Nothobranchius furzeri: one gene and its partner. The protein of the gene in region 1 purifies or fractionates together with the protein of each later gene. This does not show direct contact. Links are inferred from orthologs where the notes say so. Each region holds a gene or a part of one and is shown on either strand. Other genes may lie near its edges. The genes, in order: ptpn18 and pstpip2.

Evidence for each region.
Region 2: the proteins of ptpn18 (region 1) and pstpip2 purify together in Homo sapiens (affinity purification with mass spectrometry; 4 studies listed by BioGRID and IntAct, with this or other methods). This does not show direct contact. The link is inferred for Nothobranchius furzeri from reciprocal best matches to the Homo sapiens genes PTPN18 and PSTPIP2.

What each region holds. Positions count from the first base shown.
Region 1 is NC_091755.1:47,281,594-47,291,549, forward strand, and holds part of ptpn18 (tyrosine-protein phosphatase non-receptor type 18), read left to right. Parts: intron 1-4,532; coding exon 4,533-4,641; intron 4,642-4,880; coding exon 4,881-4,957; intron 4,958-5,114; coding exon 5,115-5,210; intron 5,211-6,630; coding exon 6,631-6,669; intron 6,670-6,749; coding exon 6,750-6,818; intron 6,819-6,927; coding exon 6,928-6,990; intron 6,991-7,059; coding exon 7,060-7,202; intron 7,203-7,596; coding exon 7,597-7,663; intron 7,664-8,098; coding exon 8,099-8,176; intron 8,177-8,830; coding exon 8,831-8,920; intron 8,921-9,420; coding exon 9,421-9,515; intron 9,516-9,956. UniProt on the Homo sapiens protein: Differentially dephosphorylate autophosphorylated tyrosine kinases which are known to be overexpressed in tumor tissues.
Region 2 is NC_091746.1:59,937,390-59,947,884, forward strand, and holds the start of pstpip2 (proline-serine-threonine phosphatase-interacting protein 2), read right to left. Parts: upstream 5,796-10,495; 5' UTR 5,670-5,795; coding exon 5,637-5,669; intron 5,213-5,636; coding exon 5,112-5,212; intron 2,564-5,111; coding exon 2,489-2,563; intron 1-2,488. UniProt on the Homo sapiens protein: Binds to F-actin. May be involved in regulation of the actin cytoskeleton.

The DNA of each region.
Region 1 (9,956 bases):
CCTGATCTGCAGAGGAAGACTGTTCCAGCGTGTGTGTGTGTGTGTGGGGGGGGGGGGGGGGGGGGGGGGGGGGGCAGAAAAAGCCCCATCTCCTCTCGTCTTTAGGCGAGCCTTTGGAACTGATAATAAAAACTGAGCCCGACCGCAAAATCCTGGCAGGAGTGTGAGGTGACGATAAATCATCTATATAAGGAGGGGCCAGACCGTAAAGTGATTTATAAACAAAAAGCAACAATTTAAACTGAATCCTGTGACGCACTGGCAGCCAGTGTAGAGAAGCGAGCACTGGAGAGATGTGAGCACGCTTCCTTGTACCTGTTAAAAGGCAGGCTGCTGCATTTTGAACCAGTTGCAAGCGGTTTAAGGAGGAATGCCCTAATCCATAATACAGGGAATTGCAGTAATCTAGTCGACAGGAGACAAAGAGATGAATAACAAGTTCAAAGGCAGTTTCCGGCAAATAGCACTTAACCTTTGCAAGTTGCCTCAAGCAAACGTCTCGAGTTAATCAACTTATCTCTACCCTGAACCTGATGCTGAAGATGTGTGTGTGTGTGTGTGTGTGTGTGTGTGTGTGTGTGTGTGTGTATGTGTGTGTATGTGTGTGTGTGTGTGTGTGTGTGTGTGTGTGTGTGTGTGTGTGTGTATGTGTGTGTGTGTGTGTGTGTGTGTGTGTGTGTGTTTATTCAAACGAGTTGCAGCCAGTAAACCCAGAACCTGACTGAAGGTAAAACATGTAAATCAGGCTCCTAGACCAGAAGCTTTGACACCAATTTTGGTCACATGACTCCAGCTGAATCTGAAACACCCTATTTCCTGTTTCACAGCCTTCTTTCGGATCCCTGGATCAGTTTAATCACGTAAACTGTAGCAAAGTTACAGAAAGCAGTTGTTATGCTATAATGAGATTCAAATAGGCTGAGGTTGGAGGTCAAAAACAGCTGCTGTTGGACCTAGGACCTCTCAGGCCCTCATGGCAGATGACTTCATCTGATCTCTGAACTCTGGAGAGCCCCAACATGAAAACACAAATATCACCTGAAAAATACAGCGGACCAAACATGGTAGCAGGAGCGTACAGCAGGAGCATACAGGTGTGTGTTAGCAGGAGCATACAGGTGTGTGTTAGCAGGAGCGTACAGGTGTGTGTTAGCAGGAGCGTACAGGTGTGTGTTAGCAGGAGCATACAGGTGTGTGTTAGCAGGAGCGTACAGGTGTGTGTTAGCAGGAGCGTACAGGTGTGTGTTAGCAGGAGCGTACAGGTGTGTGTTAGCAGGAGCATACATGTGTGTGTTAGCAGGAGCGTACAGCAGGAGCATACAGGTGTGTGTTAGCAGGAGCGTACAGCAGGAGCATACAGGTGTGTGTTAGCAGGAGCGTACAGGTGTGTGTTAGCAGGAGCATACAGGTGTGTGTTAGCAGGAGCGTACAGCAGGAGCATACAGGTGTGTGTTAGCAGGAGCGTACAGGTGTGTGTTAGCAGGAGCATACAGGTGTGTGTTAGCAGGAGCGTACAGCAGAAGCATACAGGTGTGTGTTAGCAGGAGCGTACAGGTGTGTGTTAGCAGGAGCATACAGGTGTGTGTTAGCAGGAGCGTACAGCAGGAGCATACAGGTGTGTGTTAGCAGGAGCGTACAGGTGTGTGTTAGCAGGAGCATACAGGTGTGTGTTAGCAGGAGCGTACAGCAGGAGCATACAGGTGTGTGTTAGCAGGAGCATACAGGTGTGTGTTAGCAGGAGTATACAGGTGTGTGTTAGCAGGAGCATACAGGTGTGTGTTAGCAGGAGCGTATTGCAGGAGCATACAGGTGTGTGTTAGCAGGAGCATACAGGTGTGTGTTAGCAGGAGCATACAGGTGTGTGTTAGCAGGAGCGTATTGCAGGAGCATACAGGTGTGTGTTAGCAGGAGCATACAGGTGTGTGTTAGCAGGAGCGTATTGCAGGAGCATAGAGGTGTGTGTTAGCAGGAGCGTACAGGTGTGTGTTAGCAGGAGCGTACAGGTATGTGTTAGCAGGAGCATACAGGTGTGTGTTAGCAGGAGCGTACAGCAGGAGCATACAGGTGTGTGTTAGCAGGAGCGTACAGGTGTGTGTTAGCAGGAGCGTACAGGTATGTGTTAGCAGGAGCATACAGGTGTGTGTGTTAGCAGGAGCGTACAGCAGGAACATACAGGTGTGTGTTAGCAGGAGCGTACAGGTGTGTGTTAGCAGGAGCGTACAGCAGGAGCATACAGGTGTGTGTTAGCAGGAGCGTACAGGTGTGTGTTAGCAGGAGTATACAGGTGTGTGTTAGCAGGAGCATACAGGTGTGTGTTAGCAGGAGCGTATTGCAGGAGCATACAGGTGTGTGTTAGCAGGAGCATACAGGTGTGTGTTAGCAGGAGTATACAGGTGTGTGTTAGCAGGAGCATACAGGTGTGTGTTAGCAGGAGTGTACAGGTGTGTGTTAGCAGGAGCATAGAGGTGTGTGTTAGCAGGAGCATACAGGTGTGTGTTAGCAGGAACGTATTGCAGGAGCATACAGGTGTGTGTTAGCAGGAGCATACAGGTGTGTGTTAGCAGGAGCATACAGGTGTGTGTTAGCAGGAGCATACAGGTGTGTGTTAGCAGGAGCATACAGGTGTGTGTTAGCAGGAGCATAGAGGTGTGTGTTAGCAGGAGCATACAGGTGTGTGTTAGCAGGAACGTATTGCAGGAGCATACAGGTGTGTGTTAGCAGGAGCATACAGGTGTGTGTTAGCAGGAGTATACAGGTGTGTGTTAGCAGGAGCATACAGGTGTGTGTTAGCAGGAGCGTATTGCAGGAGCATACAGGTGTGTGTTAGCAGGAGCATACAGGTGTGTGTTAGCAGGAGTATACAGGTGTGTGTTAGCAGGAGCATACAGGTGTGTGTTAGCAGGAGTGTACAGGTGTGTGTTAGCAGGAGCATAGAGGTGTGTGTTAGCAGGAGCATACAGGTGTGTGTTAGCAGGAACGTATTGCAGGAGCATACAGGTGTGTGTTAGCAGGAGCATACAGGTGTGTGTTAGCAGGAGCATACAGGTGTGTGTTAGCAGGAGCATACAGGTGTGTGTTAGCAGGAGCATCAGTTTGAACATTTTCAGCAGTTTTATCATTTGCATGTATACTTGGTCCTAAGCATTTGTGCAGAAGTCTTTGTCCAACCTCTTCTGGACCTCACTGAGGACGTTGTTCTGGACCGATGGTACAAGAAGCAGAACTTTTACAGTAGCTTAATGTCGACATGTGCAAAAAGATTTGAGATCTGACAGTAAAACTGGTTCAGAACCATCATCCTGTTAAAAGTCCAATCAGAACAGAACACGTATCTGACCTGCTGATGCTGACAACGTGTTCTGGATCAGGTGGGTCCAGTCTCAACTCTTCTGCTTGCTGACCCTCAGTGGGTCTCCATGCAGTGTAAGGACCCACATGATCCAGCAGGGTCAGGTTGCAACGGGCAGTTCGGATGAGGCAGGGCCGGTTCTGGTTCTGGCTTTGGTTCTGGTTCTGACTCACAGCAGTGTGTTGACAGGAATGTTTTCATTCCTGATTTCTGGTTTCAAATTGGTTCTGGACTGACTTTGCTGTTGCCTTGCAGTGAGAAGGTTGCTGGTTCTAAACCAGGAGATTAAAAAAACCTCTTTTCCAGTGGTGTTCTGGCCGCGAGGCAGCGACATTTAACCGTTACAGCGTAGAAGCAACGGTAAAATATCATAGATCATCATAACTACTGATGGTTTCAGCTTTTGAATTCATTTAAGGAATCGTGTTCAGTCGGTTTCCAGACTCTGCAGCAGGTTCCAGTCAGAAGGAGCTGAAGAGGCAAAGGCCATCCCACTCATCGGTACAGATCACAGTGATGTGTCATGGCTCTACAGTTGGTGATAAACCTCAAAGACGCACGATGAACCGAGCAAGAGCAGCATCCGTATAAAAACAATCAGCATAATCTAACACGGGTAAAACAGTAGCAGTGACAAGGCGCTTTTATGCTTCGAAAAAAAGAAAAACACAACATTTACGGAAGAAAAATACTAACTTAAGTTTTAGTTTCTTCACCAGTTTCTTTGTGTGTGGTTTCAAAGTACGTGAGTCATCAATCAAGACACCCAGGTACTTGTATTCATGGACAACATCCCTTCCAGAGCGGTCACCACTGGAATAACATCTGGCCCGTTCCTGCTGGACAACAGCATTAGCTTAGTCTTCTCAGCATCGAGGACCAGTTTTACCTGATGAAGCGAATGCTGGACTACAGCAAAAGCTGAAGTGTCACAACAATAAATAACTGTATCATCAGCGTAAAAGTGCATATTTGCATCAGGAACATTTTGACCCAAGTCATTGATGGACAAGATAAACAGGAGTGGCCCCAAGACCGAGCCCTGGGGCACCCCCTTCCGCACCACTCCAAAGTCAGAGCAAAGACACAGTGATGTCACTATAACAGAAGCGTGTGTGTGTGTGTGTGTGTGTGTGTGTGTGTGTGTGTGTGTGTGCGTGTGTGTGTGTGTGTGTGATTACAGGTGGTGCGCTCACAGTCTCTGCAGATAAAGAGAGAGCTGAATTTGACCTCACAAGTCGGAGCTCTGAAGGAAAACATCAAGAAGAATCGTTACAAAGACATCCTGCCGTGTACGAGGACACGTCTGGTCTCCTGCTTTCCTCCCGTCAAGTCCTTCTTCTTGTGTCTCTGTCCGAGTCTGTCTCGTAACATCATGTCTGCTTCAGATGGCCAAAACTGACAAAGAAAATGAAAAATGCCTTTATTGTTAATTTGGACTTTTAATTTCTTATGACTAAATCTGAACTGTGTGTGTGTGTGTGTGTGTGTGTGTGTGTGTGTGTGTGTGTGTGTGTGTGTGTGTGTGTAGATGATCAGACCCGGGTGGTGTTATCCCAGCAAACCGCTGACGCACATTCTGATTATATAAATGCCAGCTTCATCAAGGTGACGAAGACTCAAAAACTCTAACATCACACACACACACACACACACACACACACACACACACACACACACACACACACACACACACACACACACACACACACACACTTGTCGGATTGAACTGCTGCTGCTTGTAATGCACCTGGTTGTCCTGCAGGGGGCGTCAGGGGACTGCAGGTACATTGCCTGCCAGGGGCCTCTTAGCTCCACCCTGACGGACTTCTGGAGGATGATCTGGCAACATCACATCAAGGTCAGAAACACAACATAAACCGTTGGTGTCCAGGAAGTAGTCTGATCCATGAAGAGAGCAAAAATTAACTGATTTCAGGTTTTATATTTGTTTTGTTCTTGTGGTTCTTACACACATTTATTAAGTCAAATCAAGTCAGTTTTATTTGTGGAAAATGGCCGGTGTAGCACCCTCTTGGAGTTCTACAACCCCCAACCCCATTCACACACGGGTGGGGATGAGCTACAACGTAGCCACAGCTGCCCTTGGGCGCACTGATGGCGGCGAGGCTGCCGAGCACTGGCGCCGCCCACCAGTCTCTCTTTCCACCATTAGCAGGCAAGGCGGGTTAAGTGTCTTGCCCAAGGACACAAGAGCAGCATTCTCTTTCAGGAGCCAGGATCAAACCTGCAACCTTCTGACTACAGGACAACCCGCTCTGCCTGTTGAGCTGCTGCTGTCCCTATTCATAAAGCCCTTTCCTACGCCTGGCCAAGTGGCGGACACACACGCGTTTCATCACACAGTAGAATCAACATAGAGAAACGCTAAAGTCGGTAAAAAATCATTTAGTACAATAAATGATTAAAAGTCAATAAAAGCTATAAACGATAAAGCTAAAGAATAATTAAGTGTTTTTAATCTCAACTTAAATGTTTTTACATGTGTTTTTGATACCTTTAACACGATAAAAGGGTTTTTTTTTTCAGTCCAACTGCATCCGGAGAAGATTGATGATGTCAGAGCAGCAGAAACCTAAAAGTGTGGTTCACACTTCAAATGATTAAGTCACTCTGAGGGTTTCATGCAGGCTGAACATGAAAATAGTCTCCTACACCTATCTCCTGCATTAGCTTCTGATAGAAAACAGACGGTGAAACTCTAGGATTAGCAAATCCTGACAGATCTACGTCACACTGTCACCTAATGTTCATGGACTCACCCATCTGGACTCACGACTGGGAAGGCTGTCGTTGGTTTAGTCCAGGAAACAGCAGAGAACATCTCTGCTAGCACTGTTAGCATTAGCAACTCCACCACACAGCAGAACTCCTCTTGACTTGTGCTATCTGTAGAGTTAAATCATCAACATTGCAGCGCAAACAGAGTCAGCGGTAGAGTCGTGCTGCTGTTAGCCAATCAGAGGAGAGACATCTGAATATCAGGAAGTAAGACTCCCGATCCTGTTGTCTGAAGCTCAGCTGATGTGGCTCCTTTCTAGTTCCTGGAACGGGCTCACCGGCGCTTTTTCCCCGGAGTACGACACACAAGGCCTTCATTCCTACTAGAGACCATTGCACATGTGTTGATTAAATGAGCTACCCACATCTCTGAAGTGTGTGTTAACGTGAATGGATGATCACAAACTAATAAGCAGTCAAACTGTCCAATCAGAGGTTTTTACAGTCGGGCCCCTCTGACTAACACCCCTCTGTTTCAGGTGATAGTCATGGCCTGCAGAGAGATCGAGATGGGGAAGGTAAAGCATGTTTTATGCGTGTTTGTTTGATGTGTGATTGAAACAGCTGAACACTAAACATCCGAGCAACCTTCCTGCAGAGAAAGTGCGAGTGTTACTGGGCTGCAGCTCTCCAGCCAGTCGTGTTCGGACCTTTTACTGTCCGCTGTGTAAGTTCACCCACAGGTCACACAGAGGTCATGTTTAATTAACACGTAAATCAACAAGAGTCAGATTCAGTTTCAGCTCCTTGTCCCGGCTGTCCCTGTGTGTCTCCAGCAGGGAGAGACCAAACCCAACAAGGACGTCGTGGTCAGAAATCTGACCGTCAGCTACCAGCAGGTCCAATCCCAATTCTGACGTAAAACAAAGAAGCTGCTTCCTCCGTGACCTCCTCTTGTCCTCCTGCAGGAGACCCAGTCGGTGATCCAGTACCAGTACACATCCTGGCCAGATCACGACGTTCCCTCTGACACGGCAGGAATTCTGGACCTGCTGGACCGAGCCAGAAGCAGCTGTGGAGCTGACCCGTCACCTCTCCTGATTCACTGCAGGTGCACACACACACACACACACACACACACACACACACACACACACACACTGAACTGCAGTTGACTTTGTATCATTACAGCAGCTTGTTTGTAGCAGCAGCACTGATCACAGGTCAGCTGGTCATTAACATTTAACAGGACAGCGTAACACACGCAAGCACACACACACACACACACACACTCACACACACACACACACACATGCACACACTCACACACAAACACACCCACTCTAGAGCAGGAGGTGGTGAATATGCAGCAGGTAACACCTGCTAACGATGGCACAGTTAACATGCTCAATGCATCTGTTAGAGTCTGTGTGTGTGTGTGTGTGTGTGTGTGTGTGTGTGTGTGTGTGTGTGTGTGTGTGTGTGTGTGTGTGTGTGTGTTATAGTGCCGGCTGTGGGAGGACAGGAGTCATCTGTGCTCTTGACTACATCCATGACCTTCTGGTTGCCACGGTAACACATGATAACAACTCCTGCAAACCAAGCTCATTTAAAAAAAATCTCTTCGTAAACAAACGTAAGCCAGGACAGGTTCTGGGAGGGTTCCGAATACTCGGGCCTGGGTCCAGAACCCAAATAGGGTCCTCCTCATGTTTAAAGGCTAGAAAGTCCAGGAACCACTTGAGCAAACATCTGGGACCATCAGATCAGTTGGAGGTCCTCCAGCTGCTCCCAGGTTCCTCCGTGGCCTGAATCACAACAAGAAGTTAAAGAATCCATCATGGATCTGGTAGCTCAGCAGGTTCTCCTACAGCAAGTCAACCAAAAGAACCAAATGAAGCCTTGAGAGTCTCAGCTAGAACATGGGTACTCGGTCCAGACCGTCTGAGCGGTTCTGCCTCTGTGGCGTTTGTTTTTCTTCACCCTTTTGTGTTGTTGGTTCTGCAGCAGATTCCTAAAGGCTTCAGCATCCTGAAGGTCGTCCTGGAGCTCCGGAAACAGAGACCTTCAGCAGTGCAGACCCAGGTAGGCAGATCCACGAAGGCTCCTCACACCAGTCCCTGGTCTTACTCTAGTTCCTGGACCCGCTAGTCGTCACTCTGGTGTGTGAACCTGTTCTCCGCGTTTGACCCGTCTCCTGGGGGAGTGGTGAGCTGCAGACACGGCTGCACTCGGGAACCGTTTGGTGGTGTAACCCCACCAGTCCAACCTCTTTATGCTGAGGGAGACACTGGGTTCCATTTCTGAAAGTCTAGTCTACTAGTCCCTGGTCCAGACCAGTCCCGGTTCCATTTGCTTCTCTGAGTTTTCGTTGGAGATGGTTCTTCAAGCAATGCTTTCTGAGGATTTGTAGAGCTCAGTGGTCCAGGCTAGACCTCGTCCCTCACACCCTAAACTCCCACCAAATTCTTTGAACAGTTCCTGAGGTTCTGCTAGAAGAACCCAGGATCCATCCAGTGTGTCAAACTGGATCCTCCAACATCCAGACTGAAGTGGGCCTGTCTCTAAGACCATCAGAACCATGATCAGCTCATTAAAGGGACTCTTCACTCAAACAGAGACCCGTCCAACCCGGCTAAAGCACCTGCGGTGGCCGGACGTCAGCAGGTGGTGCTGCTGAAACGTTCCTCCACCTCAGACCAGTTCCAGGTGTGTGACTGGACTCTCTTTTCCATCCAGGACCAGTACCAGTTCATCTTCAGCGCCGTCATCCACATGTTGGAACGCTTCCTCCAGAAGTCGGATCAGCTGTACTGGAAACAGCAGGAGGTACGCAGTCTGAGCTGCTCGGGGGTTGGGAGGGAGGTGCCGTCGTGACTTTAGAGGAAGTTGTTCCACAGCTGCTGCAGAAACAGGAAGTGGTGACACTGATTTCCTGTTTGTAAATTCTGAGCCGCCCACAGTTTGACACAGGTTTGTCCAGAACATTCAGATGAGAGGAGCCAGGTAGGACATCACACACACACACACACACACACACACAGTTCGATCTGATGGGAGGAGCTGTTCAGGAGGTCGGAGGACCCCTGTACCCTGCTGCTGCTGTGCGTCTGATGGACCACCTGACCCTGAGTGGTTCCATCATGACGGTCTGTTCACTCACCTTCCTCCCAGAGGAGATGACGACGCTGTGATCTCTGGTTGTGTTCCTGGTGTCGTGCCCAGGACGCTGATCTGATGTTGAAACATGTTTTCCTTTTTTGTTCTTTTTAAACTATTCTGCCGGAAACAGAAGCTGCGAGCTGAACGGAGAAATTTTTTGTTATTAGGTGAAGAAACTTGAGAAGGAAGCTTCAACGCCAGCGGCTTTCTCCATCAACAGGTACCGACCCGCAGAGAGACAGACGGCGCGTTTCACCCCGAGGTGTTGAATTAACACGTTCTCACCCTCTTCTGCCAGTCGTCATTCCACCATCTCCATATGTTACCACGTTACCATGGAAACCTGTATGAGTGAGGCTACAGGAAGAGAGGGGGAGAGTGAGAGGCAGCGACAACAATGGAGGTCCCAGAGCTTAAAATCAGACAGCAGATGAGACGAATGAAAGGTTGAGAGAGCAAGAGAGAGAGAGAACTGTGAGAAGGAGAAGAGGAAGTGTTGGGGGGGGGGCGGGGGGGGGGTGAACAGAGGAATGAAGGAGAGGAAGGAGGCAACAGGAAGGTCGTGTATCTACAATCCAATCCTAGATTAGCGGATGGAAAGGTTTTACTTCCTGTTTAGGGAGCACATCTACCTGGTCAGTTGAGTGTAACCATGACAACCACATAGCTGCAGACACAAGTAAGGAACAGACTCACTTCCTAT
Region 2 (10,495 bases), on another chromosome or scaffold:
CTTCCTCATACCCCAGGGTTACTTGTGGAGTACCACAGGGTTCAGTGCTTGGACCAATTCTTTTTACTATATATATATATGCTCCCAATTGGTAAAATCATTAGACAGTATGGGATAAACTTCCACTGTTATGCTGATGATACTCAGTTATATCTATCCATTAACTCTGATTAACCTAATCTTAGTTAGATTACAGGCTGTCTGATAGATTTCATTTTGTAAATGTACATGACAAATCTTCCTCATACCCCAGGGTTACTTGTGGAGTACCACAGGGTTCAGTGCTTGGACCAATTCTTTTTACTATATATATGCTCCCAATTGGTAAAATCATTAGACAGTATGGGATAAACTTCCACTGTTATGCTGATGATACTCAGTTATATCTATCCATTAACTCTGATTAACCTAATCTTAGTTAGATTACAGGCTTGTCTTAAATACATAAAAAATTGGATGACTCAAAACTTTTTGCTTTTAAATCAAGACAAGACTGAAGTTCTCATCTTCAGAAATTTAGAAAAGGAAATTGCTTAGTCAATCACCTGACCTGAATGGCATTAAATTAGTCTCCGAGAACAAAGTAAGGAACCTTGGTGTTATCTTTGATCAGGACATGTCATTCAAATCCCAGGTTAAACAGGTTTGTTGGATTTCCTTTTTCCACCTTCAGAATGTTGCTAAGATTAGATTAATCCTTTCCAGAAGTGATGCCGAAAAACTAGTTCATGCATTTATTACATCAAGACTGGATTACTGTAATTCATTACTCTCAGGAAGTCCGCAGAATGTAGTTAAAAGTCTTCAGCTTGTCCAAAATGCTGCAGCTAGAGTTCTGATGAGAATTAAAAAGAGAGATCATATCTCTCCTGTCTTAGCTTCCCTACATTGGCTACCTGTTAATTTCAGAATAGATTTTAAGATCCTCCTTCTCACATATAAAGCTCTTAATAATCAAGCTCCATCATTCATCAGTGACCTGATTGTTCCATACGTTCCTAACCGAGCACTTCGCTCTCAGGCTGCAGGTTTACTGGTGGCTCCCAGAATATCTAAAAATAGGATGGGAGGAAGATCTTTTAGTTATCAGGCTCCTCGCTTGTGGAACCAACTCCCAGCTTTAGTTTGTGAGGCAGACACCTTGTCTACTTTTAAGAACAGGCTTAAAACATTTTTATTTGATAGAGCCTATGGTTAAAATCTGATGTTAGCCTAGATCTAGACAAGTGGGGGAGTAGAGGGAGGTGGAGTGTACAGTTGGTAAAGACAGCTCTCCCTTGCCCTGCCTCCAACATGCCTCTATCTAAAAGGCTAGTTTATCCAGAGTTATTTCTGTAGTTATGCTGCTATAGGCTTAGACTGCTGGAGGACACACTGACCACTTTCCACACTCTACTACTTTCTTCTACAATTTGCTCTTTAACTGTAATATTTTCTGCAATTTCAGCTGTTAACTGTATTTTCTCTCTAAGTGTTTTTCTTCCCAGAAGAAGCTACAATGATGTTCTGCTGAGCTGTGGTGGCCTCATAGAGGGGGCCATCGTCTTGAACACTGTTGCTAACCACTTAATCATTCTCCTTCTCCTGATGATAACATTTGACATTTCTTGACATTGAATGAGCTACTACTAGTTTACCCGTTTAATTATAGATTCACTAGGATAAATACAAAAAACTTTATAGCTCACCAAATAGAATATTTACTCAGAAATCACAATGTAACCATAGACACATTACTTGGTATATATGATGTGTGTGTGTGTGCGCACATACGTGCGTGCGTGCGTGCGTGCGTGCCTGTGTGTGTGTGTGTGTGTGTGTGTGTGTGTGTGTGTGTGTGTGTGTGTGTGTGTGTGTGTGTGTGTGTGTATGTGTGTCTGCTCTGTCTACTTGATCCCCAGTGAGTCGTGGAGGATGGCTGCTTATACTGAGCCAGGATCCTCTGGAGGTTTCTTCCTGTTAAAATGGAGTCTTCCTCTCCACTGTCTCTAAATGCTTGTTTAGCATGAGGATTGCAGTAAAGACACTGACACCAGTCAGTGACTTGACGCAATTTGCTGGGTTCCTTATATAGGAAACTTTTTTCTGATTGGCTTGATGAACTGTTTGGAATATTTATTATGTGAAGTGCCTTGAGATGACTCTTGTCGTGATTTGGCGCTATATAAATAAACTTGAAATGAATTGAATTGAGTCATGGACACTAATTTCTTCCTCTAAACACTTAACGCCCCTACACAGATTCAGATCTAGGCTAATCATGTGACTGAACAGGAAGCCAAAAAGCTGGTGGACAAAAATATCACGAAGAAACTGATAAATAGTCATTGGTTTCATTTGACAGCAACAGCTAAAGAATCTGACCAGGATCTAAATCCACCACGTCAGCTGCTAAAAGACAGACTTGTGCATTTAATTATCAGACACCTGAGGTAAACAGGGCAGGTGGAGCTCATAATAACAGTGTGTGGGCCCGCAGGTTGCTTACTTCATCTCATTATGTCCACAAACCTTCTTGGACAAACTGAGAAGATCTTTGGCATACTTCTCTTCCACTGTAGCCCTAAAAAGGAAATCACAACAGAGCACAGTGAGTCAAGATGTTACAAGCTCAAAACCATTTCATATTAATATGAAAAAATATACAGAAAAGTCACTCAGTGACTGTACAACATTGGCCTGGGTGACAAATCAATTTAATCAATTAATTCAAATTTTTTGTTTGGGTGATTTAAAAAAGTAAATCAAATTTTTATGTAATAACGTCTTTTTGCCCCCCCCCCCCCGCCCCCACCCCCCCCCCCCCACCCCCGAGCTTCCGTAGCATTTGTTTCACATAACCGCGACAACAACGTCACAGCACGCGCATGAAACAGCAACAGCAAGCGACTCCATGGCCACCAGTGAGAGTGGGATGTTTGTTCCTAAGAAAGGAATTAAATCATCCGTTGTTTGGAACTGGTTTGGATTTGCAGTGACGGACGTGGAGTGTGGCACTTTTATTCCAAGAGGGTGTTCATTTATTCATTATTCATTTCAGAAATGAGGGTTACATTTACCTTGCTTGTGATTAAATAAAAAACTAAATTGGCTTGAATGTGCCTTCCATTTATTCTTATTGCTATTCTTAATAATTGAAGGGGAGAGAGAATCGTAAAAAAAATTCATGAATCGAATAAAAAAATTAAATAAATTTGGACATTTTATTTTTAGGCTGTATCGCCCAGCCCAAGAACAACCTGCAGAAAACGGTTTATTTCATATTCAGTTTCTGTCCTACCTATCAGGGAATGGACACATTTATGAATTCACATGTAAGCGAATGAAACTATGAATGACAAAAAAGTGGGTCAAATCTCCAAATCTGAACAAGAAACTTCTTCTGCTCTCTTGATCCCTTAAAATGTTTTTAACCTGTTCTTCACATCTCTATAAGCATACGAAACTTTGTTGGGGCTCACATTGAATCAGGAGCCTTGATAACTGGTTAAACCCAACCTCATAATGTGTGTGTGTGTGTGTGTGTGTGTGTGTGTGTGTGTGTGTGTGTGTGTGTGTGTGTGTGTGTGTGTGTGTGTGTGTGTGTGTGTGTGTGTGTGTGTGTGTGTCAGATATTGGCAGCAAAACACCTGATTGGAGCATCCCTACTAATTTACATAGGAAAGCAGGTGGGAGATGGCACAGGCCTTTGATATGTTACATTAGACACACCAATCTGCCTTTAACTAAAACAACTGGGTTATGCAATGCAATTCTACAAGTTCAGTTTTCAATATTATGTTGGTTTGATAATTCACACAGATGGAACAAAATGAGTCTGGCCTTCTATAAAGTCACACATCAACCATAATGAGGCTTGGCCCCATAAGACAAGCCAACCAGAAATGTCCCCGCTGACTTATTCCACTACACGTTACTGACACTTCTGTTTATTTAACCGAGTCTGACTGATCAGGTGCCAAAACTCTTAATGATTAATGGAATTCATGGATTTCTCCACAGATCAGCTAAAGAAAGACCCAAACACTGGATGACTAAGTGTCAAAGTGTTTTCTTACAGCTTCTTTCATGCTCATGAGTGCTACTTCTTGTATTTTACAAACCACCGTGTTTCACTAAACCCCTTCAATTCTTAATTTAGGGAACTTTCAGTTATGTTATTATGTAATACCCCCCATTATGTTTCAGGGGGTTTAATGTCTGTGCAGATGTTTAGTGAACCGGGCCGTAACACAACTTTATTACTTATGAACGTCTGTGGAACAAATCAAGCTGAGATGATGTCAGTGACTGAAAACTGGACTTGGCTTAGTGTGTGTGTGTGTGTGTGTGTGTGTGTGTGTGTGTGTGTGTGTGTGTGTGTGTGTGTGTACTTTATATGCTTAAGTTGACAAACTTAAACTTAACGTTTAACCTGTAGTGTGTGAACATTTCCACATTGTGAGGACATCTGGCCAATTCACACAATGACAAAATACCCTTAAATGTGGTTTTAGAGGTATAGTGTGAACTAACGTTGGTTTAGGTTAGGGTTAAGGATAGAACAGCATTGGTTAGGGTTAGGGTCAGGCACAATGGGTTAGCGTTATGAACGAATGAACGAAAATCAATGACGGTCCTCACAAGGATTGCCAGACAAGAGTGTGTGTGTGCACGCGCGTGTGTACGTGTGTGTTAGAATGAGGACTGATTATCACTTCAGGAAGAAGGGATTTAAAACTCAACTTCATACAATAAAATGTATGTTTCATATTTGTAAGGACTACTATTTTAGTCTTAAATTTGAACGTTCGTAATTTTATGGTCGGGAATCAATTTTCTATCATTTCAGAAGTTCTTCTCACCCTACCAGGAAACATTAGCAGACATTTTTGTTTGGTTTTGATTTGAGCTACTTCCTTCCTCACGTCCTGTAAACGTTTTATTAAGCAATAAACTTTGCAGAGTCTATAGCTAGTTCATGTCCCTCCTGTTTTCTAGGTTTCATTTTCATGCAATCTTCTCTTTTTTATTTTTGCAGATTAATTTCCTAAACGCAAACATTAAATCTGCACAGATAACAACTGGCACATGTGGGCAGTTTCTGCAACACGCCTTGATCGTGTCATTACCTGGCTTTCATGAATTCTTCCACTTCCTTACACGTTCTTTTGCCTTCATTGAGATACTGAATGATGGCATCATAGCCAGCAGTAGAGGTCAGATCTGAGGTCTTTAAGCAAAACCAAAACCAAAAAAAAAAAGACAATCAATGTCCATGTCATCCATTTTATCATGAACAATAATTACAATTAAAACACAACATTTTCCTTTATTTAACACTTTATCCCAATGCAGGAATTTTCTGCATAAACACAGGTAATGATATATTTGGAATTTTATACCCTGAATGCAGCAGCCTGTAAACATGCTTCTTGTGTAGAATTTTCTTCACATCAGGTTAAAAAGTTTATTTCAAAGCTTAATTATAGAAACATTTACATTATTTTTATTCAAAAGTAGAATTTTATTAATTTCAATTTGTCACATGAAAGCTGATTGCGATACTTTATGACAGGATTTTCAGTAGAGAATGAAAGTCTACCTAAAGTAATTTTGAGCTAACTTCAAAATAAAACATTAGATAAATCACTCACCCAGAAGAAATCCTTGAAATGAAGGTTTTTCATAACTGAAACCGTCCAGCGGGTTTTGTTTGTCTGCCAGGGCGAATCTTCCTACTCTTGCTGTTTCCCTGAGACGAGAGTGAACTGTCTGATCTAACCAGTCATTTTAAAGAGCGCATGCGCACTGGGGATTACAAGCAAGCCAGAAAAATTAAGCAGTGATGAAAAAGTTTTAAAGAATGTGCTGCTATCTAGTGGAAGCTACTGGGGTTGCAGATAGGAAGAAGAGGGTCTAGGTTTAGGGTTTAAATTAAATTAAATTAAATTAAATTAAATTAAATTAAATTAAATTAAATTAAATTAAAAATAACATGGATTTTATATGGGTGAGTTGTGGCCCTCCAGCACAGGCAGTTGATGCAGAAAGGCACTTTTCCCCACATTTTTATTTAAAGATTTTTACAAGTCATACTAAAATAAAAATAAACATGTTCTCATTATGGAAAATGTAATCTGTCTTTTAGAGTTTGCAACATCAAAACATCAAAGCTTGTAACATTTGTCATGCTTTTTGTTTATTTTAAGCTTAATTAAATATTAGATATTAAACATTTGAATATTTAATGAGAAAAAATCTTTTGTACTATAATTGCGAGCTACACCAGCATTGTAGAAGAAATTCAACTTCTTGTCTAATTTTTGTTGTTTTTACTGTCAGTTACAACAGCTTGTTATGTAATGTCACAACATGGAGACTTTTATCGATGTACACCATCGGATGTGAGGAAATCCAGCTAGCGCACTGTCTCTTCTCTCACACCATGTCCAAAAACCTGGAGGGCGAGGTCATTCGTTACATCCAGACAAATGCAGTTCAGCAAAACATCACAGCCAAACAGAACATCTGGAGTACACGGTTTATAGAGTCTCTGATTAAAAAGGTTCATAGTGCATTTACGGTGAAAACAGAATCGCACACAACAGCATGATAACAGAAAACAAAAACACACTTTACAGTTCTACTATAAGCAGAAATGTGAACATGTGAGCAGAGAAATGGAACATTTTGTCACATTTCTTCTCTATAATAGCAGCTCTTTCATTTTTATATACTCTGTTTAGCTTTGGGAGTTTTTCATGTGTGAGTTCACGTGACAGCAGCCAATCATCAGCTGCCACAAAGGCCAGCCACTTACTTCCTCAATCCGCCTGAATACAGACCATCATTCAGTTAAAGGTGGACTATGGAACAATTTCATAAAAAGCTATATTTTAAAAAAATAACACCTCCATGGGGCGTTTAGAGATGTGCAGAGTGAAAGTATGGTATTTCCTTTAAAAGCTATATTGTTATCCCTCTCAGAAGAGGAGCGACCATAAAAGATCTAAAACCAGAGTGAGTTTAGGTGAAGCTACAACAGACGAACCTTAATAAGAAAATTCACGGCTGGAAACTTCGTTCTATTGTTGCAACTACAACCTCCACACACTAGATACCACTTTCGTGTTCATGTTCCATATTCCACCTTTAACTTTTAATCTGCTAATCCTGTTAAGCCAATTAAATAACGTTATGTCTTTCATCTGAACTCTTGGTGGTCAATAGATCAGAAAACTCTAAGTTGATTTTATGGGTTTAGAGTCCTAAATGGCAAATTTGTGTCTGAAATATTAGAAAAAAAGATTTGTCACAAACTATTTTAATCTTTTTTATTTGCCTCTCTTTATATCAACAGGTTTTCAAATGAGGCATGCAACACCAGAGAAGAGCAACAACACATGACGCATAAGGAAGTATTCTTAAGTATTAAAAAAACAAAACCAAGCCAAGAATGCAGAAGCAGTTTGAGATAAGTACACTTTTACTGCAACAGGTGCTGCGAATCAAATCCACATTACCCAGTAAGATTTAACTAGTCTAAGATGCTCTAAAAAAATAAAGAACAATGTGGTTTACAAGCAACAAATCAATTCAAGTTTATTTATATAGCGCCAAATCACAACAAGAGTCGTCTCAAGGCACTTCACATGGTAAACATTCCAATACAGGTCAGTTCATTAAGCCAATCAGTAAAAAGTTTCCTATATAAGGAACCCAGCAGATTGCATCAAGTCACTGACTAGTGTCAGTGACTTTACAGCAATCCCCATACTAAGCAAACATTTAGCGACAGTGGAGAGGAAAACTCCCTTTTAACAGGAAGAAACCTCCAGAGAATCCTGGCTCAGTATAAGCAGCCATCCTCCACGACTCACTGGGGATCGAGAAGACAGAGAAGACACACACACACACCAACACCAACGCCAGCCCACACACACACACACACACACACACACACACACACACACACACACACACACACACACACACACACACACACACACACACACACACACCATACATACCAAGTAGTGTGTCTATGGTTACATTGTGATTTCTTAGTAAATTCTATTTGATGAGAGATTAACTTTATTGTATTTATCCTAGTGGATCTATAATTAAATGGGTAAACTAGTAGTAGCACATTCAATGTCAAAGCAAGTAAAATGTTATTATCAGGAAATGAAGAAAGTTTAAGTGGTTAGCAACAGTGTTCAAGGCAAGCCAATGCCCCCCCATGAGGCTACCACAGCTCAGCAGAACATCATTGTAGCTTCTTCTGGGGAGAAAAACACTTAGAGAAAAAATTAAGTTAACAGCTGAAATAGCAGGAAATAATGCAGTTAAAGAGCAACTTGTAGAAGAAAGCAGTAGAGTGTGAGAAGTGGTCAGTATGTCCTCCAGCAGTCTAAGCCTATAGCAGCATAACTACAGAGGTAACTGGATAACCTAGCCTTTTAGATGAAGACATGTTGGCGGCAGGGCAAGGGATCAAAAATGTTTCAACTCATAACAAATTGTTTGAAACAGGAAGCAAAGAAATAATTTTTCTTTTTAAAACTTGAAAAGTTTTGAAAACCTTTGAAGCAATGTCCTTGCACACTATGAAATTTAGAGGAAATAGCACGGAAAATGCTGACAAGCACGATAGTGGAAGGGTGATGATTTGGGTAAATACAATCAATACAATCAAGCAAATGTGTAAATCAGCGGTGCCTGATCCGTTTCAGTATGTTTTAGGTGTTTCTCTACTCCAACACAATGGGTTCTAGGAGAGTAAAATGCTTCTGCAGAGCTTAATGACCTGCTGAAGAGGTAATGCAGCCATTGAATGAAATTTGTTGGATTAGGTTAACAAGTAAAAAAATGGTGGATAGCAACCCTCAAAGGCCAATAATGGGTATCCTGCGTAAATGATTCAAATACGACATAAAACTCAGTCAACCACCCACAATAACAAACAACACAAACATATGACCATCTAAATTAGTACTTTACTCAGCCTCGCTTATTTTACACTGAAATCAAAAGTATATACATTATGTTGCTAATTCACACACCCTGACTGATGCAACATGAATGCAAAATGCCCAGCCTTCACATCACCTGACTGAAGAATGGCGTATTTTTCTGGGACTTCCCAGTTCTGAGGACGTTGATCTTTTAGCAGTGGGGTAATAACTTCAAACACGTTTGAGATACCTGCAGCACTCTAACGTCTCACAAGATTTTCCATTTGATCTGAAGGCGATGGAAAGAATTCCTGCTTCTTCCGCCGATGATCACATGATGATTGTGCTTCCCTTTCCCCAAAAAACATAATTTGTGTGTTCTGAACATTGTGATAAGCTATTGCTGAGTTTAGCTCAGAAAAGGTAAAGCTCTTTGACTCGGTGTGCTGACTTCTGAGATAAATCAGCTTTATGGTGGGGTTAGGGTTCTTGAAAACAACAACTATCGTCTGCTGATGATGTCACATTCATGTGATTCACTCTGGGTTTTCCTCTTGTTGCTTTTACTTTTGATTCTAGCCTGCTGCGATCTCACCAGATATCTCATTTATTACATTTATTAATGAATCTGTCAGTTTTTAACATCTTTAAAACACATTTCCCAGTACAGACAGGACAACCATGTGCAAAGAGTGTAAAGATAGTGCATTTATGTTATGGGACTGATTAGAGGATGCAAAGATAAAACTGTAAACACGAGTAGACTCGTGTGTGTGTGGGAGGAACTTGGCTTTGACTGCTGGGAATTTCGTCACATCGACCGACTATATAAGCGTTCTGTTTCCTATTCTTAGTTTAAACCTGTTCTGTCTTGTCAAAACACAACAGAAGAATACAAAAGTGCACCGAGCGAGACAAACTTCAGCATTCTTACTGGAACTCAGGACAAAAATGGCCAAACAAGGTGAGTTTTTAACAGAATTTGAACAAACTTGTCGATTAAAGTAAATTGATTTTATCCTTCTACTATTTTAACTTGCGAATGTTAGCGTTTGATGTTCATGCTGTTGATTTTTCTTCCTAGATAGTGACGCAGCTGTTGACGTCTGTGCCCAAGAGCTCAGACAAGTTGGAGATCAGCTCTACTGGAAATATAAACTCCTGCATATACTGATGGAAAAATACAAGATCGTCCACAAGATCAGCTGAGACGTCACACCGAAGGATTTCAGTGGGTTTGAGTGGATTTAAAGGAATCACGGCTGTGGAAAATACTGAACCAACCAACACAGAGGAGTCTTGGGTGGTGGAGTCATTGCTGGTGGCCGGCAGTGAGAGGAGGTGTACATCTCACCGGTTACCGGGGAGGACTTTGGACCGATATCATACAGAGGAACTAATGATGGGAGGATTCTGATCCAGTGGCTGGGATAATGGAGGTTTACCAGCTGATATTATTCATGCATGTTTTGTATCTGAACTTTCAGTGCTTGGTTATAGGATATAAAGTTATTTACTTGCAGTGGAAAGTTCTTAACGTTTTGCCTGTGAATGGA